Oreochromis niloticus: one gene and its partners. The protein of the gene in region 1 purifies or fractionates together with the protein of each later gene. This does not show direct contact. Links are inferred from orthologs where the notes say so. Each region holds a gene or a part of one and is shown on either strand. Other genes may lie near its edges.

Region 1 (8,020 bases):
AAGACAGGGCCATGCATTTAGTGTTATACACTGATATGATGGTACACAGTGCACAGTATCTAATCTCTGCAGACCTCTTATTGCCTGGTTAGTAGATGAATAATAATAAACTTAACAAAACAGTTCTGATAACATTAATCCAAGCAGTTTAGCAACATTTTATGACTGGTTCTGGAGTACTTGTGGACGTGACACATTATATGAGCGAAAATCTTACAACCCCACTCAAGATTTTACTATGGTTCAATGTACCAATAGTTTATAATGATTCCAGTTTGTCTTACATAAACTGCAGCAACGTGACACGATATGAAACTCGCTTCCTACTGGTTGGTGCCAGGAAGCAAGTTTTATGTAGTGGGTTAATCCATAAACTTTGACACATGCCCCACACCCAGCAACAGAGATTTGGTCCCAACAGATCACAATGAGCTCATGACTGAGGGTCAAGAGGGAACTCCAGTTACGTCAAGCACAAATCAACACCAGATGTTTCTGCTGCCCACTGAGATCGTCACACAGCCCCGGGAAGAATGAAGCATGAGGGATTGCGCAAAACATAATGAATAATGCCAGCAACTTACTCAAATGTCAACCCTTGCACAGAAACGCACAATGGATAAACATGGAGCTTCTGACGCAGCATGACTAGAACTTTGTAATAAGCTTTTGCAAAAGTTTTGATCTAATGGGCTGTTTTTCTGCGAGCTAACATCTGGATGTGGACACTTAAAAATATTGCCATGAGAACAACTATTCATCCAGCTGGGTTACCCATGTGATGTTTTAATCCACTTAAGCTTCCCAGTCTGATACCGGTTAAGCTTTCCTCTCTTACCTGCAGGTCATCACTGTTAAGATTTCATTGTGTTAAATGTGCTTGCAGTAACTAGGAGAATCTTGTTTAACAAGTGATAATAGCTTACATATTCTCATTAAAACTAAATACTCCCAATTCTAATGCTTTCTGTTTCCTTAAAGCACTCAGCATACCGAGTAAGTACAGTTTAAAGGTCAAAAGCAGTAAATAGGTGAGAATATACTTCACCTGTCAACTCCCAGTCTTTGACGCTCTCCCTGTCTCTCGTCACACTTCCCAGCACCTCCCTGGGCACCGGCTCCATGCGGCAGTCCATCTTCCCTTGTTTGCTGCTGTTGGATGTCTGCATGGCATTCTTGAAGAATCCGTTGATCTCCTGAAAGTCCATACCCTCCAGTTCTTGGGTCAACTCGGCCTGTTCTTCAGGGCTCAGCTCGTTCCAGAACTGCAGGAGGTGAGACTGGCCGGCGTCAGCCAGCTTCTGCCTGAGTGCGCTGATGTTTGGGTCCATGATCACCTGTGCTTTTAATTAACTGTGGGAAAAAAAGATTATGTTATTTAAAAAGAACTGCAAAAAATGCCCCAGGTCTCGTGTTGTTTTTGTATAAGCCGGTGGCCTTTATGTAAATATAAAAAAAGAGATGATAAGAGAAAGGTCACACTACAATATCCAAACATTTGCAGGGTTTTTCCCCACATATAGATCTGGCCTTCCGCAAGGACTTTATTAAAAATACTTGTAGCTTTTTTTAAACAGTGAGGTTTTATTCACCCTTAAATACATTTTTTGAAGTAAAATTGACAAAAAATTGCAGAAATAATCTGTTAGATAAGGTAACACAGACTCTTTCCAAAAAATTCATGTGGACCAGTCATATTTATTGGCACAGTTACCACTAAAAGCTCATTTTGAGCTCCCAAGAAACTGTATGTGTATATAAAAACAAATTTAGGATTAAAAAAAAAAACTGATGACATAGTCAATGTGCCTAAAGTGAAACATGATAAGAGTATCTTATAGCCCTGTGCTAGTTGTAGTGTTGGTAAAACAAGCACTGCTGGAATGCTTATCCTATTTGTTTGACTCCACACCCACATTTGACAGGAAGTCATCACAACACTAAAGGATAAGGTCGAGGACAGTTTCATGTTATACCACAGTGTGAATACTGACTCTTTTATACCCAATATGTTTGCTTATTATGATTGATAATTACAACAGTAAAATAATAGCTGTGTCACAACGCGATATTATGAACCCGCGATGTTTTCTAAGAGGGTTTACACCAAAGAAACCTCCTCTGTAAGTGAGCTTTCCAATGGGATGCTGACGACTAACACCACAGGCACACACCCTGAACTATCTACAGCTGTAATACACAATATTCATATATCACTTATAGTTAAAGTGTTCATACAACTTTTAAACTTCACGTCTCCAGCATGACCGCGACGTTGAGCCTGTAAAGAGGTAGCAGGGACTGCTGTGTTGACTCGGAGCACAGATAAATCCAGTGTTAGCACAGTGTAATAATACAGACTGTTGCTAAGAAGCGCGTAGATTTAGTGAACCACATTTTCAGTCACTGTATATGATAGTTAGCCGCGGTCTGCGCATCAGTCAAGCTACAGCCGGGCACATGTTAGCAAATATCCGCCCGACTGAGGAGCGGGAAACCGCTCGGCTCGCTGTACACATAGCAGATAGAAGTAAATCAAATATTTAACTCTTACCTCTCACAAAGACTCCTCTCCGGTGTAAGATCATTAATGCCAATCGATGACTACTCGCTCGCACTGGTCACTATACGCCTCCCTCCCGGAATACACCTCCTGCTACGTCACATTTGACGTGGCATCAGTGTGCGCGTGTGTATGTGTAGCCAAGTCAGAGATGCGTTCAAGTGCCACCTGTAAATTTAATCACTCTATGCTAGGAGTGTGGGGGAAAAAAGGCACGGGAGCCAGAATCTGTCAGGTGTTGTGCCAAAAACTGTTTTCTATCTATGTAATATATTTGCTTATATTGTTAAATAGACTGTAGTCAATAGGATTTCTGAAAAGGTTATATATAAAATAAAGACATGGCCTGTTTTGCAAGAACCTTTCTTGATTTTACCTATTTTATAATCACAGCACTCTATTTTGGCCACTTAAAATATCTTGAGATAACCATTTCTTGCCATTTCTGCTGCCCTCTTGGGCACATCTTTCTTGAAAAATACATTTTTGACGTCAATTTCCCTTTTTACCAGGATAAATGAAGGATATATACAAGTCCCCTTGCCAAAAACTGATCACAGCTTTTATTTTGTCTTGAAATCATGTTTGAGAAACATGTCTGAAATTTTCTTGTCAGATTATATTGCAACAAGTCATGTACAGCATTTTAAATATAGCTAATCGGTTTTTTTGCACCACACCAGCAAAGACTCTTATTACCTCTGGACAGCTTTGGAAAATGTGAAGCAAAATGAACGACTAACTGTATTTTTGTAAATTTTATTTATATAAATTTTATGGCTTCGCCTACTGAGCCCAAAGAGATATGTTGACAGTTTCTTTTAATTCTTTAATAAAGAGATGAAAATGCACTTCTTTTTCTGATATATCTGCATTTGCTGACATGTTTTGAATCATGCACGCTTTATGTCATACTACTTGTCATGATTTTTCACTATAAATATTGTATTCAAATCATGTAAAATGCAAAATATTTCTACTTGTTTTTAACAGTCTTTGATAGTCTTTAACAGCTTTATGAATGTAATCAAAGGTAAACCATCAGACAGGTAGAGACAGAGCAGTCAGCTTCAATGAACCAGCTAATGTACATATCTCCACTTGTGTGTGTGTGTGTTTATCTTCATTTTCTAACAATTAGCATATGAATTGTGTTTATCTGAAGAGAAAGCATGTATTACCCTTTAATTATTTCATGCACGTCCTAAAAAAAACTTACATTGAACCCCCCCCCCTACACACACACACACACACACACACACACACACACACACACACAAAAGATAGCTACAGAAATGAGATGGCAGCAGCCCTGCTGACCCCAAATCATTATTGTCTCTTATCATTAACAGAAATAAGAATAGCTTATTTCATACAGCTCTCAGCAGCAGCCTTGAGAGCTGTATGATCCAGCTGCTGAAACGTTGGCACAAAACCCGACTGTTGTTTGGTGACAGAGTCCATGGCTGACAACACAGCAGCTCCAAATAGGATCCTGTCAGGCTCCCAAATCCAGAATCCTCAGACACCTAAAGAGTTAGAGGGGGCTGCTCTGATAATGCCAGGTGTCAGACTGGATGATTATCAGCAGCACCCAGCTGATACTGTATACTCATTTCAGTTCAGTTCATTGACCTGAAAAAATAGCCACAATAGTCTGTTAATAGACTAGTTCTAAATCTAATTGTAAGATTAAAACACTTAATTTTAAAACGATAATCAACACAAACCAATTTCTGTGCTGACCTTTGAGCCAGTCAATACTAGGGTAATATGCACAAATTTCTGAGAACATGGAAGTACATGTAAACAAACAAAAGAAAAAAAAAAGGTCAATTATAAAAAAGTTGCCTTGTAAAACACGAACCACTGATCTGGAATGGTTGGACTTTCACTTCTGAGTTCAACCACGAGGGGGCGACCGTCTCTCCTGATGAGGCGGAAGCAGTTTGTTCTCATTTGAAACAATTTTGTTGTGGTCCTCCTCTTCCTCGCTAAAACCAGGCTGGGTGCTGCCCATCTGTTTGTTTTTCCCTGGTGGTCAGATTTTTGTGCGGCTACAGAAAATGAAGAAGTTTTTCGATGACATTAAGAAAGACATCAAATTTAAATCCGCGGGACCCGGGAAGAAACTAACGGAAGACACCAGGCAAATAACAAACTTTTCTTTTCTCAGCTGCTACAGCGCTAAGCAAAGCTAGCCGTACAGATAGCTATTTAACATCGGCTAAACGGGCTTATCTCATAGCTGACAGTTGGTCAGTAATGAGTACCGCTTTTCCGTCTCCCCATGTATTGAAGCTAACCACAACAGTGCTAATTTGTGTGTGTTTTTCTCACGGTTGTGCGTCAAACGGCTAACTGTTATATAATCTTGAGCACGGCGGGAGGCGACTGTATAATTTCAGGGTAACCTGACTAACAGTTAATCCCTGCACAAGCTTGTTTAGATAAAGGACTAAGCAAACCTGCTTCTCAACAGGAAGCAGAGCTGCTGTGATTCTGACGTATTTGTACTGTTGTCGTTGCTACTTAGCTTAGCACTGTCTTCTTCCTACTGTGAAGCCACAACACGTCTCCTCTTATAGTGCTGTTTCTCTCCTAATAACCCTACAGTGCCAAGCCTGAGGTGGTGCAGGGTAGATCCAGTAGCAAGCACGATCGGCATGCCCCCAGTGAAGGAGCCCAGAGGGCTGGAGCTGCAGCCTTGGCCAGGATTGAACAGCATCAGAAGCCGAAGGTTCACACCTCCCAGGACGCCATTAGGACCCAGGGTGAGACATGCAGCCCTGTTATTACACCAGGCGGTGTCTCAGTTCAAACACAGATGAACGTCAGCCTCCTTGTTTCAGTTGTGGGTATTAGGATAATTCAGTTGTGGGTATTTAAACATGTTTTAGACTCTGAAGCACTCTACAGATTATTACAGTTGATCTAGTTAAAAAAAGTCATATCTTCTAAATTTATTATCTGCTACTGTAATATATCCAGTACATCTATGAAAGAACAGACACCAGAAACATTTATTACCTCTGAAAAACCACATCATCAAAGAAGTCACCCATCCATTCATTTTCTGCTGTTTAACTGAGGCTGGGTAGTAAGGGCAGCAGCCTAAGCAGAGAAGCCCAGACTCTCCCCCCAGCCACTTCCTCCAGCTCATTTAGGGGGAACACAGGTGTTCCCAGGTCAGCTGAGAGATACAATCTTTTCAGCATGTCCTGCGTGTTACCTGGGGCCTTCTCCCAGTAGGACATGCCCAGAACACCTCACCTAGGAGGCGTACTAGTCAGATCCCCGAACAACCTCAGTTGTTTGGAGCAGCTCTACTCTGAGTCCCTCACAAATCAACTCCTCACCCTGTCTCTAAGGGAGAGGCCAGCTACCCTTCGGAGAAAACTACTGTCCAAGGTGTGCATCCACAGTGTCATTCTTTTAGTCATTACCCAGAACTTGTGACCACTGATCAGCTCTCTCTTCACCCTGCATCACTGCAGAAGTCTGTCAGTCTCTTGCTTCCTTCTCAGATATTTAAATTCTTCCACTTGAGGTAGCAAAACGTCCCTGAATCAAAGAAGTATTTATTTTTAAAAATCATTGTTTTTGTATTCATGGGAAAAAATGTGTCAAGTACATAATCTTTATGTTTATGTTAAGATGCTAAACCTGTGAAGTCCACGGAAAGTAGATATGATTAGATACTGTTTTACACTGATGAAGCAAATATATTCTGGTTATGACGGTTGTTTTCTACACGTGCTTGCAGTAAAAAGAGAACTCGAGGCCGAGGCAGCTGCACTTGCTGAAAAAGAAAAGGCAGCTGCAGCAGAGGTAAGTGTTGCATAAACCAGAATTGTGACACAATTTTCATGCTAATTTTGGTTCACATCGACTGTGCTTAACTTCATAAAATATTTCCATTTTTTCTTTCACTTTGAAGAAGACAGTATTCCTGATAAGCTGTTTTCACGGCTGATTAAAGTGAATATTCCTGTTTATACACAGCCTATCATACAGTGTCCAGTGTCAAAAAGGGCAGCATAGGTGCAGACAGCTGTTCATCTCAATGTCAGTTTCATAATATTGGAAAGTAGGTGACTTTCTCCAGCCAGACAGTGGGCTTTTGTTTTAGTCTTCCCTTATTTACCTTAAACCTGTTCAGTACTAAAATGTTTTTATCACAATCCTGGTGGTTTTCTTTAGTTGAAAAGCCAGAACTTTCTTTTTTTTATGGGCACCAATTTTTTTTTATATGCATAAAAAACCCTTTATGCTTGTCAGTGGTAGTGAGGCCTAATTGAGAATATGAGAAAAGGAGCCAGCTATTCATGTGAGCTGTATTAAATTCAGAGTAATAGCGGTGGCCTGTTGGTGTGGATGAAAATTTCATCACTGAATCTAACAACACTGAATGACATTTTCCTCCCAGGGCTCCAAAGTGCCAGTGAAAGATCCCACCCTTCTCTCAGTATCAGGTGTCTATTTCATCTGTCCACTAACTGGAGCCACATTAACCAAGAGCGAGAGGGAAGTACACATTAAAGAGGCCATTTTAATGGTATGTCTGAGGATGTTGGTTCAGTTATAACGTGTGTGCAGTCAGACTGAATGCTAATCTCGTTGGTGCTTTTGATAAACATGCCATTTTTGACTGCAGCGGTTTGAGGAAGATGAAGTCGAGGCGTCGGTTATGATGATGCACACATTTAACAAAGACAGAGAGAAAGTGAAGGCTGCGGTGGACATCATAAGCAAGTAAGACGCTGATGGTTATGTTAATTACATATGTAAATGTTTTATGCTGTTGTCACAGATTTTGAATATCTGTTCTAGACATCAAAGGTTTTTTTGTTGTCATTGTTTTGTTTCCAGATATGTTGAAAATATATGCAAGAACCCCACAGAAGAGAAATACAGGAAAATTAAACTCAACAACAAAGTGTTTCAGGTGTGTAACGTTCCTCGCCTACTGGATAAAGACTAATTATTTATAGCACACTTCATGGGATCTCTCTAAGAAAACAAGATAATTTTGCATGTCTTATAAGATTCCTTGTGTTATTTCAGGAGAAAGTAAAGTCTGTGGAGGGCAGCAGGGAGTTCCTGCAGGCTCTGGGCTTTACAAGTGTGATGCTTCCCATAGAGGGCCAAGGTAAATGAATAGTGATATTTATGAGCAGTATGTGTCTGCTCACCTGCCAGTGATTTTCATTTATGCATCATTCAGTCTTTACATCTTTTTAACGCGTGCCCACCTTTCATGGAGATCAGAGGAGGAAGAGGAGTTCCTGGTGTTGCCAGAGCAGAGCCCCGATGCCCTGGAGCTGATGAAGGAGAGGAGGGATCGTCTTCAGAGAGGCGAGCCGGTCAGAGCGCAGCTGGACAGACAGCCTCAAGCTTTCAGGCCGTCCCCTAACGCTCAACGCTTTGAGCTGCCGCCAGAGTTCTACAACCTTA
Region 2 (8,017 bases), on another chromosome or scaffold:
CGAAAGATTCATCTCATTCACAGCGATTTAATTCATATTTTGCCCACAATATATTCTAATTTACACCTGGAACAGAGTTTAAAAACTTTGACAATGAGTGGAATTAACTGGTGATTCGCACAGGTGGGAAACTGATTATTTTATTTCGTCCAGTGTGGAAAACCCTACATTTGAAATGCCATAAATCTTTGAACTATCATTAGTTATAATCTTTGTTGTCATTACTCTTAATTTTGCTTTATCGTAAAGTCGCCAGAACAAGGATAAATGCCCCTCTCTCGTCCTCGCTCGCGCCCTCCCTCTCGTGTACGCGCTAATTTGCAGCGTGCATGGCGCTCTCTCTGATCTGATCCTTTGATCCATTTTGGTCACATCCGGAGTGACACGGGAATGGAGCACACGGAACTAAACTAGTAGTAAAACGCAGATCGGATGGTGGGTGTATCTACCCCTCCGTGTCTCAGATTCTTACCAATTAATGACAAAACTGTGGTTTTAAATCACGCCTGAAGGTCATTAAGAAACTATGAAGAATCTGCAGGCCATTCACTTACCCTGCAGGTGACCCGTCGTTGCAAGTCACAGACACGTTCTTCAAAAAGTGCAGCTTCATGTCCTGATCCAGCTTTTGCGCAGAGCACGGATAGAGTGACTGCGCTAAGTTCTTTATCTGCACTACAAAGTTGTCCATGTTGCCCTCCACAGCTGTGAAGTCTAACGGGAAGCTTTCTGCTCCTTCCACCCGCTCCCTGTACGGCGGGGGCGTCTGCTGCTGCTGCACCCTCCGTGTTTGCGCCCGACCGCCGCGCACTCTCCTCGCCTCCACCGGTGCGCTCAGGTGGATGAAGAGCAGCAGCAAGCAGGAGCGCACCGCGGACAGTCCAAATGAGTTTCTCGCCACACCACGGCTCTGCATTTCTAATTATTTCTGGAGAACGTTCCTCGCGTGTGTGCGTGGGCTCTGAAGAAAACACAGCATATCCTATGAGTGGGTAGATCGACAGGAAGTTCTTCGAAAGCGCACGGAGTCTTCAAACAAACGATCTCCTATACCAGCAGTACTGGGTAAAAACAGCTTATGGGTCTCCATGGTGCCCTGAGAGATGGGTATCTGGATTCAAACTCATGCAAAATGCGCGTGCAGTTCCAGTTCATTTCCTTAAATCGCGCGCAGTTCGTCCAGTAAACGGGTTCTTCCGTGCGTAAAAATATCTGAAGTTTCGTCCAGCTCAGTCTCACCAGTGACCTGTTGCCTTTTGGTTCAGGTCTTATAAGCTGCGGATGAAGCGGGAATTTATTTGAGGTCCTCCCCCTCCTCCCCCCGTCCCCCCTGCCTGCCCCCGTGCTTCTCACTCCCGCGGGCCAATCGTTATTATCGTTGGCGGATGCTCTTTGCGGGGCGTGGGGCTCACACCAAGAGCGCGCGTATGCCTGGCACGCCCCCTCAGTCGGTTCACTCATACCCCCGGCCCCTTTGATGTTGTGTCATCATATGACCGCGCTGCCTTTGAAGTGTCTTTGATTGAACATGGTGTGTGAGTAAAAAACGCAGTTGGACACGCCGTTCCGCTGCAGAAGGTCACGCCACTGATGCACATGTTTTGCGGCTTTTTATGCGCTTCAGAATTAAACTGCATTTTCTTTGTGTTTGTTGCTCAAGATAGATAATCAGATAATCTTTTGGGCTATTTCACAACAGAAGATAAGGTCGCTGGAAGTTTTTAAATCATGAGTGTGGTATGTGTAGACACAGCGATAGGGCGAACACACTAAGTCACACTAAAGCATAAATCAACACTTATTACTGACACGTAAAATATTTAAGCTATGCTTGCGGGATGTGAGTTTAAGATTATTGTGTGACAGTTATTAACTCTGTTGCAACTGTTGACTGTATTGAAGACCTTTGACTCATCCTTATTGTAAATGTGAGCCAGCGCTTCATCTGCTCCACTTTTTACTTTTCCTTTACAACCATTTTTTCCAAAACTGACTTCTTATTGTGTCGTTAAACCTCACAGATACATGAACAGAATCCCAAAGCAGTTTGAGAACTGGCACTGGCTGGCCTGGTTGGAGAACTCATCAGTGGTGTCAATGTCATTTTATATGTGACCAATTTAATTTCAAGTGTGCTGGGTCAATAAAAACATTGTATGATTCCCCATTAAGACAATCTTTGTCAGTATGAAGTGGTTTGTGTGTTCTTCTGTCGGAGATCTTGTTTTCCAGCCACTGGAAAAATAGAATAGAATAATTCTGCACATCTAGGTTCAAGAGAAAAGAGATTCTTAATCCCTGAAAGCTTCTTTTTCTAAGAAGATGGTGAAACTTGGATAAAATGAATCATTCGTACAGCCACTGCAATCATGTGATTCATTTTAACCACTTAAAACAGAGGTTAACTCCTGGTGAAGTGAAAGGTTCTCTGAGATTTTCACATCTTGTTAAGCCATCCAGGAGGCCAGACTGGACCTATGGGTGGGACACATGTAGCCCATGAGCCATATGTTTAACACCAGAAAGCTATTTTTGCCCATATTGTTTCTTTTACATCTGCTCATCTTTAAACGTCCCCATTCATTCACCAGATCCACCGTCCTCTGATGTCTAACATTCACACACTGCCTGTAATTTGATTTCGATCTTTGATGGGGTTTTTTATGATGAAAGGAACACTTAAAAAAGGTCTCTCAGCATGTAAAACCCACTGCAGATGCCTTTATAAGTTTGCGCTCTATCCAGACAGTTTTGAAGTTTCAGTCCTGCTGAGCGAGGAAGGAAACTGATTGTTTGTTTGTTTGTTCAGATGGTGGCAATTTCCCACTAGGACTGAGAAGTGCATTCATTTCTGTCTGTCTGTCTCTCTTTCCCAGGTGGACTTTGTCTTTAAATGTTGCTCTTGAAGCAGTCAGTCAATCAGTCAGTTGTTCGGCCTCTTAAGCTCTGGCCTCACACCTCTCCATCTGTTGGCACCACTTGTCATGTTGTTTGTCTCGTCTTATTCCAGCTTTGATCCAATTTGATCCATGCTGAGAAAAAACAGCCTTGATTGTTGTTGCTCAAACTGCATACATACAGTACATTAGGTTTTCCATATGGAGAGCAGATTGACTGTGTGTGACTGTGTTGTGGTCAGTTTACAGACAGGATCAATTTCCTTCTCTCATGAGGCCAGATTGTGTTTTCTTATTATGCTTTTAAGGTCAAGGGAAGAGTAATGATCTTCATATTGTTTTTAGATGCACACTGTACAATACAAGCTGCGGAGGGTTTTTTTTTTCACAGAATGAATAGATAGATTTTTTTTTACATTGACTCTGATGTTGTTAATCCACTCAAATTATTTTTTCTAACACACAAACGGATGTGTAGAAAAGACCTTTCCAAACTTAAGTCTCCCCTTCCACCTAGGTTAATGTAGTGACTGTAAATTCCATGTAATTCACATCATGTTTATAATTCATAAATAATTCAGTTAGCTGGATTTAGACAGACTAGTCAATAACCCTAACCCCTTTGGTTTATTCTGACAAAAGGGAAAGTAAGAGTTGGCATTAATATGATTAATGAGGTCTTATTTCTATGTAAGTGCTCCAGTAAGTTGTTAAGTAAGCCAGTATACACGGTACATAACATGGGATCCAATAATAAAAAAATACAAATTACAATTGTATGCATCTGTTAAATCAGAAATTTAACACTAGATTACACTAGTTTCAAGTAGACAAAAATTATTTCCCCCTGGGAATACAAAATATAGACCTTATAATATCACACTGTCCCAATGGAGCAGTTCAATCTCTAAAAGCAGAGTTGGAGGCAAATCCTTCAGGTATCAGGTTAGCTCCCAGTTTAGGTTCAGGAAACAGACACCCTCCCTACTTTTAGATTCGGCTTCAAACTTTCCTTTTTGATAAAGCTTAGCGTTTGGGATGGATCAGATGAGTCTAAAGCATCTTAGTTATTCTTTTATAGGTTCAGGCTGCTGGGACACTTCCCAAAAATGAGTAGACCATTTCTTCTCTAGTCCACTCTTTTCACTCCTGATGCATTTACATGGCACTATCGCATGGCATTAAATTGTGTCTACCCTCTCCCATAGCATGTGTTGTGTTTCTGTCTCTCTGTGCTCTTTTTGAGACAATGGTTGTTTGAATTGGCACCGTATGAATAAACCCAAACCGAACTGAATTTGGTGTTATAATATTTCACTGTAACGTTTTTTAAAATAAAAGACAATAAACTACTAGCCAGTCTAAACTACAGTAAGGCTTAGTATATGAATAGATAGTACAAGTTGTGTTCTTAGTATTTTATTTCATGTTGTAGCACTTTAAGAGACAAGCAGATGTCTCTTAAGTGCTATTTGACTATTGCAGTGGGACGCTAAAACATTGTGGGGGTTATTTCTTCTTAATTTTTTAAATGTTTGTATAATTAACATTATTTTGTTTGGATAATAACGCTCATAAAGGTGAGACGAAGAAAATCTTAAAAGTTGAACGAACTGCACCTTTAAGTGATGCCGCGACAGAGTCAATAAAGCTTATTCAAACAAACATTGTGACGTCAGGACACGCAATGGCTGCTAGTGGCACAGCTGTAACGGTTCTCACTCCCAATGGGAGAAGGCAAACAGTTAAAGTGGCTCCAAACACGCCGTTACTGCAGGTGAACTGTTATAGAGGAGCGTTTCATCTTTACTTAGGTGGACGGCTTATTGAATTCTGCGCTTTGGTTATAGAACCGGACTAAATTCCTTCCCTCCGAGTTAGCTTGCTGGGCTAACAGTTGTTAGCCAGTGACTGATCAGTTTGTGTTTTCGTGCGGATGAAATCAGATTATTTGGGAGATTTTGTGGCATAACTCGTGTTGTAATATTTTCCGCCTTCAGGTGCTGGAGGAAGTCTGCAAGAAGCACGGATTTAACCCAGAAGATCACGGTTTGAAGTGAGCAAATGAACGTAGCTGTATATCAGTTTTTGTCCCTTCAGATTAAAAGCCTTTCACCTGGATTACATCCAAATACACTTTAATACATAAACAATCGCACTGGACAGTAGCGGAATAGTAATATGTGAAATATCCGTTTATTTATATAGTTAAAGAAGTTAAGCAAGTTAAATGTTGTAAGCGATTTTCACATCTTGTACAACTCTGTTTTGGTTTCAGATCGTGTTTACTTATATTTTAAAAATCGGTGTCACTGCAGGAAAAAAAGAAACAAGACAAATTATGTGTCAAAAAATGAAATCAAATTGAAATTTGATAACTGTTTGTAACTGTTTGTACTGTCCTCAGGCTCATACATCATTCTTCACAGCTGTCCAGCTACTCCACATGAAACATTTAGTCTGATTTAATTGCTCTCTTTCTTCTCCACTGTGAAAATTTTTGGCAGGTTTCAGAGGACTATTGTTGACCTGACGCGGCCATGGAGGTTTGCAAACCTGCCCAACAACGCCAAACTGGAAATGGTGACGAGTACGAGGAAACAAGTTATAGCTGACAGCCAGGTCAGTTCAAACAAAGTGCAACTTGGGGCTCAACGTTTAGTCAGATTTTAATCTCCGTTATGATTTTGCTCTCAAATTGTTGAGAAAACAAAATAATCTTGACCATCTTCTTTGCACAGCTTTCATTTAGAGTGGTGTGTTTTTACTCTCCCTAAAAGTTCAGCTTTTAGTTTAACCCCAACCAGGGTGTCTATAATTCAGCTTTTGGCTACAAAGATCTAATCAAGGAAGTAAATCGTTGAAGGTTTCTTATGGTGAACATGTGAAAGAATATCACTTAATTGGAGCTACCCCAAAGAAGAGTTTGTGTCTACTCCTGACCTCAAACTAGGAATCTTTCGTAGTTGAAGAAAATGCCCAGAAAAAGACACTTTTTAAACTCCAGTATCTACGCAGTGTCTCTTAATCTAGTGAATAATGTGCATATTTTAGAATATTGACCAAATTTATCATGATTACGACTTTTCCTATAAGCAAGCAGCCTTGGTGCATCTATGTATATGTGGGTGTTAGAGAGAGTCAGAAAGGAAGAAAAGTCTCCAAAACCAGTGTTTGGAGACTTTCCTAGCTACGCCATTTTTTATTTTATGTTTTTTCAGATTCATGGTGTGCATGAATCAGAAAAAATGTGGAAACAATTCTTTTTACCTCAAGTCTGATTGCAACACAAAACATGCTCTTAATAAAAAATTATTAAACAAGAGCTCATTTCCAGGATCAGCATTGCCAGAGTCCTTTTTATAGAAGTACCACAACTCGGTATCCTTTTTGAAATGCCTCCAGTCATTTATGTGGGCAGTTATTTGAAACACCAGAGTGAAAAAATATCTGCTTAACTTATTTTAAGTGACTTTGTCTCAGTGAAACTTTGCCAGCCTTTTTAGCCTTGAGTGGCCAAGGTAAACATGTTCAGAACATACTTCTTTACCAGGGTTTTTCCTGTATATGGTAAATGGTAAATGGCCTGTATTTATATAGCGCTTTTTCTGGTCCCTAAGGACCCCAAAGCGCTTTACATATCCAGTCATTCACCCATTCACGCACACATTCACACACAGAAGTGTTTGTGCCCAGCAAAGAGATTTTAGCCTTCCATTAGAGAAAGCTCACCAGGACTTTGATTTTTGACATGTTTTATGTAAGTGGGGTTTAATTAAGTTAAGCTTGAATGGCGCGTTTGTTTTTTAAATAACAGGCGAATGCGTAGACTTCTGTTAAGAAAGGTCACATAGGCTATTTGCCTGGCGTGCATGTTGTTCAATAAATAAAATTAATTTGAGTCCCCTTAGGGCTATTTGTCCCACTCATGATCATGTTTGAATAGCCTTAAGTAGCTTCATGTGTGGGTCAGTCAGCCCCGTGTGTGGGTTTCTTTATTGTCCGTACCTGGAAATGCCTGAATTCTCTGTCACTGCTCTCTCTCTGATTCCTATCCAACAAAACACTTTGTTGTAGCTGAGCTGTAGTTTCCTATGACATCATGGCATCATAATCCATGCTGTAAAATTCACGGCTGGGTTTGATCTGCTGTTTTTGTTCATTTGATGGATGGTTGACTGTTGATACCTGGCAGATTTTATACAGACGCACACACGCAGGCACCTCTGGGGCAGACTGGTTTGTGGGAGTGTTTCGTGTTTGACCGTTGACAGCCAAAGCCCTCGTTTCATCTCTCCCGGTGTGCTGACATGCAGCGTGCTTTCTGTGCCGAACAACACCGTTGCAGAGTAAACAACTCGCAGAGTGACTCAGAGAAAGAGCAACAGAGACTTGCACTCATGTCTGATGTTACTTATTTTCAGGCTGAGGTAGGCCCACATGTGCAGCTTAATCATCTTTGATTATCAAAGAATTTTCTTCCTGGTAAATGTATCAAGACTGATGAGCCAAGAACTTACAAATGACCACCGTGGGGGATTTTCAAAATCAATTCCTTTTCGGCATTTAAGGAGATGTTTGTGAGTCCAACAGCGTGAAGTGCTTGTACTGTAGATTTTATTACTTTTAGCTTCTGTCAAAAGAAAAAAAAATGTAAATAATTTAAAGAAAATCTTACTGTGATAATTATGTGTTTAAAGGGGCCTCATTGTGCTTATTTCCTCCTCCTTAGTTTTATTCTTGGACTGTTAGAGTAGCTATGCATGATGGACAGTCCAAAATAATCCTTATTTATCTTAACCTGGGGCTGGATGCAGGCTCTGTTCATCCTCCATCCAAAACGAGCTGTTATAGGTGTTTAAAGCCAACTTTCTTCTGATTGGCTGCTGCCTGGAAACACAAGATCTAAACTGCAGTTAGCTGTGACTGCTGTGCTTGAGGATGTCCACTTTCACTGACATCATGCAGATCCTAATGTAGGAAAAACCTGGTGAAACTGAGCATTTAGAGCAGTTTGAATCCTGTGCTCTGGGCTCACATCCATTACTTATATATATGCTAAACTACTTATTTTAATCTTCGGTTATGTTTAACATGTTCATCCTCCACTGTAAGATAAC
Region 3 (8,029 bases), on another chromosome or scaffold:
ACATTTCTCCTTTAAACATTATAAAAAGCTTTTACAAAAACATATTTCTTTCTCCAAATCAGGAAAAACTGATCGTTTGTTTTCCTGCGTGTCGCTTACCAACACAAACCACACAGTTAGTCTTCGTGCAGTTTTTGTTATATGTGGCCTTTCATGTGCTTCTTCAGATTTTCCTGTCGTGAAAATGTTTTACGACAGGCACTACAGGAAAAAGGTTTTTCTCCTGTGTGGACAACCATGTGTCTCCTAAGGTGTGTGTTTCTCTTATAACGTTTCCCACATTCATCACAAGCAAACGGTTTCTTTGTTTTGTCGCACACAACAGCGTGAGCATTCCTGCAAGCGGGTGCATGTCTCATAAGGTGTGCCCTTCGGTAAAATTTTTTATCACAAATATCACAATGAAATGGTTTCTCTCCCGTGTGGAGCACAGTGTGCCTCAGCAGACTTCCCTGTCGTGTGAATCTCACGCCACACTGACCACAGCCAAATGGTTTCACTTCTGCGTGCGCGCTCATGTGCACGGTCAGATCACCTTGACGTTTGAATCTTTTACCACAAGTGCTGCAACCAAATCGCTGTTCTTTAGTGTGAACTATCTTGTGTGCGTTCAGAATTGCCTGTTGGTAGAACTTTTTACCACAAAGACTGCAACTAAACGGTTTAACTCCCGTGTGAACTTTCACATGAGCTGTCAGACCACTCCGATTACGAAATCTTTTACTGCATTCATCACAACCAAATGGTTTCTCTCCTGTGTGAATTGTCATGTGGCTGTTAAGAGATTGCTTTTGCTTAAACTGTTTCCCACACTCAGAACAGCTAACTAGATTTTTACAATCAGGTGCCCTGGTGTGCTTCCAGCTATTGTCAGTACCATCAGTTTCAGTTCCAGAATCTGATAAAGTTGTCTGCCAGTCTTCATCTTCATCATTATCATCATCAGTACTGACTTCACTCTCAAAAGACTCAGAAGCCTTTGTAAGAGGTGAATGAATGTCTGAATCTGGGTTCTTGGCAGGCTGTGGTCCTCCACAGTCGTCTTCATCAGTTTCTGTTTTCATCTGTTTATCTGAGCTGCTGGGTGGAGGCTCTGCCTCGCTATTGTTGTTAGTTTTGCTTTGGTGAAGCTCTAAGAATTGAGGTTTTTCTTCTTCATCTTCGCTTTTTACAGAAATAAATGCCTTTCCCTCCTGACTGTCCCAGAGTTTTTCCTGTTCCTCCTTTATGCGGTGGTGCTCTGGGACCTTCTGCTCCACACTGGGACTCCATTCATGAGGCATCTCTTCTTTAATCAGCTGCTGGACATCTGCACGAATAAAACACAGTAAGCACATTTGTGCTCTCCATTCAGAGCTATTCTGTGTACATATATGTACACAGCCCTGTATTCTCTGTTTAACTGCTGAAGAAAGAGGGAAAAAATAGTCATCAAGGCAAACATTTCAGCTCAGCAGCCACATAAAGTGTGCAGCGTAATTGTGGTAGTGCAATACTAAAGATTTTGGTATGGCTCCGAGAACGAGTAAATACAGGGTCAGTATTGCCGATATTAATATCAATACTGATACTTGTAACACATAATGCAGCTTATTTAGGGGAGTGCAGTGTGTTGGATAGTACCATTGGTTAACATAATAAAACACAGCTTTTTTTTCTCCAAAATAATCAAGATGTGCCTGTCGCTAAAGCACTTTGGTTCAGCTAGTGTTGTTTAAATCTGCTATAGGCTATAAATAAAATTGAAAGATTTGCACCTCTTAGTGCATGTTTGAGCTATACTGAACATATAAGATAGAAACAAAGTATCAAGGCTATCACACTTTTATTGACCCAATACCAATATCAGCGTTGGTACACTCATACAGTACACACACACACACACACACACACCTGTAAATACTGGCACAAATCCATAAAGCGAATGTTGGTGCTTGATTTATAGTTTTTATATTTTACATTTGAGTTACGGAGCAGCTTATTCAGCCATTTCATCTTAAAGGTGGAAACGCTGTTTGTTCGGTGAGGTTGAACTGAGATCACCCTGCTGTGTGCGCGCCGTAAACCGTCCGGGTGCTGCGCTGCAGTTTCCGTTTTGGAACATTTGTGAACCGAGTCAGATTAACAGAGGACAGTAAGACTTGTTGCTGTGGAAATCTCAGCCACCCCTACAACAGGTTAGCATCACGCCAGCAGTTTGCTCCATAAAATCAAACATCCGTGATTTCTCTCACCTGCGCTTCGGTTTATTTCGTCCTGCAGCTTTAGGGCTCCGAGCAGTTGCATCTCCGGCTTTTCTTCAGGATTTTGATCGCTGTGCTGTCGAAGATCATCCGCTTCGTTCATGCCGACCGCTTTTTCTGCTCTTCTTTAGTACAAATTAGGCCGTTTCTCAGGGTGAAGTTTGGCATGTTTGTTGGTACTGAGCAATGCCCCAGTGGTTACCGTGCGTAATTGTAGCTCAGTCAGTTTTTGTGTTATCCTGCAACAAGGAACTGAAACTGTACAACAGAGGAAAATACCAAAAGTTGTCTTGTCAAAATAAATAAATACAAATAAAAACTGATATATTCACTTTAAAAAAAAAAATCCAGTTTTTCATAATCTTAATTAGATTATTTTTTGAAAAGTCCGGCAACACTTTTCATTAAAAGAGAAAAGGAAAAGCTCTTTATTCTGAATTAACACTGTAAAAGAGCTTCTAGACTTGAAAGATTGATTTCATTATGTGTATTCACATTTCTCTTTGTGTTGGGGAGATGAGCCGATGAACATCCTGCTTTTATTAAGAATGAAGTTCAGCTACTTTCGGCTGCTCGCCCACAGCTGCTCGCTCCGCATGTTTGATTTCTCTGATTTTTATGCCAGATGCTGTGAAGCAACCGCCCCCAAGGGAATGGTGTCTCATAATTTATAATCCTAAAGGCTGCCACAACAGCATCAATGAAACCAAATTATTGCACACATTAGATTAATTTTGATCGTTTTGTTACAACTCACAATCTTCATCCATAAAGCACATTCCAGAATCAAAAACATAACAAGCAGAATTTATAACAACAGTGTGACATTCATAAGTGTAACAAATTGTTCCTCTACACGTGGCTGAGCTATGAGGTCTGCTGACAGAGCATAAGCCACAAGGTTCCTCAGATAAATGAGTTCCTCATCAGTCTTGTAGGGATTTAGTGATAACACCTGTTCTCTCATTCTAAGCTGTTTCTGTCTTTTCTGTGGCCTCACAAATATTCTGCATATGCAAAGTACATAATGTCACGCAGGTACTGTGGTTTGTTGATGTTCCCTTGATGTTGAGGGAACATCTAAGACCTATATGTGTCACTTTAACTTCATAATGAAGACATCCACATTTAAACAGGGGGTAGGTACTTAAAACAAGCCAAAACAATAATAAATGAACAGCGTGTAAAACTACGGGTATTGTTATAATGGGAACTTTTTTGGATTTAGATTATAGACAATACATGTCAAATACGAGGCTCAGTGCCAGGAATCATCAAATTAATTAAAAACACATTGATTTTTTAAAAATTAATTTATTTGAATAAATGCTGTTTCTTCTGTAGTGATGGTCTGGAAAGTTTAAAACATTTTCATATCTAGATAAGTGTATCACATTTAAAATACAGCTGTTTTACATACATGAATGAGAGAGATTTGGTATCATAAATTATTATACCCAAATACAGCTAGTGTGAGGAAGTGTAAGAGTGACCACAATGATGGTTTAAAATGTACAAAACGCTGCAGAAAGTACAGTAAGTAACATAAAATCACCCTCCTTTGAACCTACAAATAAAAAAATAACTATAAGTAACTGTTTGAGACATAAAACAGCAAAACCTAAGCAGAATATAAATTGACTGATTACTGACTACTCAGTCCATCACATCTCCTTTAAATGCTTAATTACATTCCTGTCCCTTTAAACACTGTACAAAAGTTTTAAAAGCCAGAAATTCCATATTTTCATACCATAGTGTTATAGAGTTTAGGGTTTGGGCTACTTTTCATCATCATAGACCAGACGGTAGTTTTATCCATCCCACATGTTAAAACAATGCCTCATATTTTATGATAGTGATTTTTTTATGAAAAATGTTAGTTATTGTTAAGAATTCAGAAAGCAGAATAAAATTAAGATAATGTTGTGCACTTACAAGGAGGGCTCAACAATGCTGTAGTGAGCCTCTGAACATCTCTGAAAATGTTCAGTGTGAAAGGAATATTTTGTATCCCATCTTTCAGCATATTTAATACTAAAAAGGATCTGACTCGGGGGGGCTCAGGTGGGAGGCAGTAACTGACGGGAGAAAAAGAAAGAATGATAAAAGTGGAACCCTTGTTTCTAGCTTAGTTTCTTTGTTTCGACCGTGGTCGCTCCGCTGTGGGATCGATGGGGGCGCTAATGTGTGCAACACCCGGTGTTTGAGTTGCGGGATGGAGTTTCGCTGACATACACACACACACACACATATACATACACAGCAGCGCTACGGGGTATTTGTTTTGACCCTGTCTGTCCACTAACAAAGCCAAATCTACCGGGCGCACCTACCCGAGCAGCATGGCCGATAATATTGTAAGTACAGCGGAGGATGGGCTCCGGCTAACGTTAGCTAGCCTGTTAGCTGGACTCCTGAATGATGAGGCAGCAGAATTAGCTTGGCTAGCATTAGCCAGCTAACATGAGCTAAGAGTGACCAGGGCCTGTTTAGCTAGCCGGCTAATATGATAGCTAGTAGGCTAGCTGACGACATCCGAATGAAAAGAGTCATTGTTGGCTAACGGGAGAGCGACAATAACGGCCGGCTTAAAATGACTGGCATATTCTTTCATCTCTTTAGCATGACAGTAACACGAATAGCTCGGTAACGATGGGAGCTGTGATGTTGCACATTCACCACGAAAGTGATATTTAGTTAGTCTGTGAATGAGCCAGTACACACTGACAGCTTTCCAGAGTAGTTCAATGTCAACATCGTCATGTTGCAGCTAAAAACTAGAGGTTGATGAGCTGACGTTAACCCGACTTTTCTTTCTGCACTGTCACGGTTGTCATAATACCCCGACACTGACACCGGAGGGGGGCGGAAAGGGGGGGGGGCTGCGTCCTGGTTTTGACTGACAGGTGTTTGAAATGCTACAATGGATTCGGGCTTGTACTGTAACGACTGAATTGTGGGTTTATTTCTGTCTCTCCTTTAGATCATCAGGGTGCAGTCCCCAGAAGGGATGAAAAAAATTCCTTCTACAAAGAGGGAGACAGCTGCTGCTTTTTTAAAGAAGGTAATGTGTTAAATATAACAGCACTCAAGCATCTTGTTTTCTTCTCTACTCTAAGGGCTGGTTTCCAGCCTCAGGATTTATCAGTTTGGCCTGGCACTCCAGTATAAGGGGGTCAGTTCAGCCTTTAAATGAAGGTGGTGGCTGACTTCTGAACAATGCAGGATTTTAATTAGTCATGGCTGCTGCTGTCCTCTTCCCTAAGCCTCCCCTTCTGCCTTTTTATAAGAATCCCTGCTGACAAACTCACCGAATAGCTAAGAAAACAGTTTAGTTAAAGACTTCTAAACACATTATAGTTTTAATTCAACTGTAGATAGTATGCTTTATTTGATGTTTGCATAAGATAATGGCAGTAATCTGTGAATAGTTGTCCAGCAGTTACAAACACAATAACATCTAAGCCTGGGCCATCATATTCTGTTCTGCTTATGACCTCCTTGGGTTTCCGAAGGCATGGGAGAAGATGAGGGAGAGTGAGCTCAAAACAGTTTTTTCAGATGTAAAGGAGGGGAAACAGGTATTTTCTGTAGCTTGTGTTTCCATAAACTGCCAAGCATCAGCACTCCTTCACCTCAAGGCTTTGTCAGCTCATCGTCATTATTTATTTTATGGAAGTAGTAACACCGTGTCCTCATACAGTTGAAAAGTCACAAAATTCGGAGTACCATCCTAATCTGCACGCCCTCCCTCACTTCATCTCCAGTTCACAAAGATTACCCATGTTTGCTGCCTTCAGGGTACAGTGGTGCCACATTGTTTTAAATTGCTATGCATTGTAAAATTAAGCAAGAATAATAGGCATAAAATAAAATGGTCACAGTTTTCTGGCTGGAAGAATGAAAGGCTATCTTAAACCCCTAAAAGACTTTGATCCAATTGAAATCTGGGAAAAAACAACTTTTTGTTTTGACCTTTTGGTGATACCCTGTTTCAAAAGCGGAGATTATCTGCTCTCTCATTGGTTATTAGACCCATCACATGCAGTTACTTGTGGCCAAAACAGCAGGATTGTTGCTCTTGATGCTTCAAAACAGGTCTTTTTAAACCAAAGGGTGATGATATGTTAGTCATGTTAATACTGTCAATCATAAGGATGTACTGATATATGATCCAAATATAGTCATTAGCTGATATTGGCATATCAGCAAGTAAGATGGCATTTATCCACATCAGTAGCTGATATTTATCTGTTGTGTCACATCAGTCGTGTGCTGGCAAAAAAGCAAAGAATTTCCCACTCTCTGCTTTCCTCCACACCAGAACTGGATCCAAGCCTTCTGTACTTTATTTCCACAGTACACTGAAAACCTGTGCAGGCCTCTTATGTTTTTTTCACAAAGAAAACTGATTAGAAAATGTTTTATCTTTAAATCAGTACAGGAGTGTTATGTGTTGTTGTGGGCTTTGTTTTGTTTTTTTTCCTCTTCTTGTGCCTGTACATACATGAAGCTGTGTAGGAAGTAACAGAGCAGGTCGGTCCTTTGTGGACTGCACAAGGAAATATGTGTTCAGGGAGTGTGTTAGATGTTTTAGAGTCCAGGCATTGCTTCATATCACAGAAGGCACAGATAAAAGTGTGTAATCTGATTTTTTATAGGACTTGAATTTTACTGAAGGCCTGTTAATAATTTAATCCACTTCCCCAAATCTACTGCATAAAATACAGGAAATTCTTGCACCCATTTACAGCTGTCTGGTAATGTTGAACCCAACATTTGCACCAGTGCTGAATCACTGCTGAGCTGGACTCACATCAGATTTGGACAACTCCTAATCTGATGTCAGTCCAACTCTGCAGAACTGTGAACGCCCTTTGGTGTTTCAAGAAGTTTGGCTGACACAAACAGGCTTCAGAGATGTGAATTTGAAAACCTGCAAACATGAACTGTAAGTTAAAAATTTAAATCTAAAGACCTTCTTTACCAAAAAGGACAGAAGCCGGTGAAATGACAATAAAAAATGAAGTGATCTGCTTGATTTGTAAAATATCAGGTGTTCAGGTGAGAAGTATCAGCAAAACAAAGATAGAAAGTTTTAGCAAATTGACAACAAACATGGTAAAATACAATGTAAGTAAGTAAGAATAAGAGACAGTAAGAATAAGGCACCGTAACACCTATAGTAAAGCTGACAAATGGTATTCCTCCCAAGTTATACAAGCCTCACTTAGCAAAGTACTTAAGAGCCACTTTCCCCTCTGTTTCTGGGGAAATTTTCTCTGTTATGCTTCAATTTTACACATGAGGATGGGAAATAATTACATTTGCATTTTAATCACTGACTATGAAAAGCCTAAAATAGAAGCATGTAACAGCAGACAGAGCACTGCAGCAGCACCTCATCAAAAATGCATTTGTTAAGGCAGGACTGTGTAGCTTGCAGATCAATGGAAAGTTTTCACTCCCCACTGAAGTGCAGCAATGAGCCAGACAGCCGGAGTCCTGCTGGTTATATTTCTGCAGCTCAGACAGAAAAGAGAGGAGCTGAAAACAATGTCTGATTGTGTACTTTTCCCATAGTGATGAGATCTTATGCTGTTCTTTTGGTGTGTCGTGAGAAAAGTGATCCTCAGACAACCTCTATGCTTCTCACTGGTCTTCTGTTCTCTGCTAATTTTATCAGTGTGGACTTTAAAGATAGATTAAAAGCAAACGGAATCCTTCCCAACGTCATCAACTGGTTTACATGTTGGAGGAGGGAATGTTGTGCTGAGCATTCT

Evidence for each region.
Region 2: the proteins of ubxn6 (region 1) and aspscr1 purify together in Homo sapiens (affinity purification with mass spectrometry; 4 studies listed by BioGRID and IntAct, counting the BioPlex papers as one, with this or other methods). This does not show direct contact. The link is inferred for Oreochromis niloticus from reciprocal best matches to the Homo sapiens genes UBXN6 and ASPSCR1.
Region 3: the proteins of ubxn6 (region 1) and nploc4 purify together in Homo sapiens (affinity purification with western blotting; 3 studies listed by BioGRID and IntAct, with this or other methods). This does not show direct contact. The link is inferred for Oreochromis niloticus from reciprocal best matches to the Homo sapiens genes UBXN6 and NPLOC4.

What each region holds. Positions count from the first base shown.
Region 1 is NC_031986.2:39,718,155-39,726,174, forward strand, and holds the start of ubxn6 (UBX domain-containing protein 6), read left to right. Parts: upstream 1-4,495; 5' UTR 4,496-4,629; coding exon 4,630-4,712; intron 4,713-5,179; coding exon 5,180-5,337; intron 5,338-6,329; coding exon 6,330-6,394; intron 6,395-6,992; coding exon 6,993-7,121; intron 7,122-7,220; coding exon 7,221-7,318; intron 7,319-7,435; coding exon 7,436-7,511; intron 7,512-7,630; coding exon 7,631-7,715; intron 7,716-7,834; coding exon 7,835-8,020. Other genes in the region: uap1 (UDP-N-acetylhexosamine pyrophosphorylase), read right to left, coding at 1,049-1,331. UniProt on the Homo sapiens protein: May negatively regulate the ATPase activity of VCP, an ATP-driven segregase that associates with different cofactors to control a wide variety of cellular processes.
Region 2 is NC_031971.2:32,711,281-32,719,297, reverse strand, and holds the start of aspscr1 (tether containing UBX domain for GLUT4), read left to right. Parts: upstream 1-4,536; 5' UTR 4,537-4,584; coding exon 4,585-4,674; intron 4,675-4,897; coding exon 4,898-4,953; intron 4,954-5,404; coding exon 5,405-5,519; intron 5,520-8,017. Other genes in the region: inactive palmitoleoyl-protein carboxylesterase notum1b, read right to left, coding at 555-916. UniProt on the Homo sapiens protein: Tethering protein that sequesters GLUT4-containing vesicles in the cytoplasm in the absence of insulin. Modulates the amount of GLUT4 that is available at the cell surface. Enhances VCP methylation catalyzed by VCPKMT.
Region 3 is NC_031973.2:3,597,718-3,605,746, reverse strand, and holds the start of nploc4 (nuclear protein localization protein 4 homolog), read left to right. Parts: upstream 1-4,392; 5' UTR 4,393-4,588; coding exon 4,589-4,603; intron 4,604-5,229; coding exon 5,230-5,310; intron 5,311-8,029. Other genes in the region: oocyte zinc finger protein XlCOF6.1, read right to left, coding at 138-1,309, 2,235-2,346. UniProt on the Homo sapiens protein: The ternary complex containing UFD1, VCP and NPLOC4 binds ubiquitinated proteins and is necessary for the export of misfolded proteins from the ER to the cytoplasm, where they are degraded by the proteasome.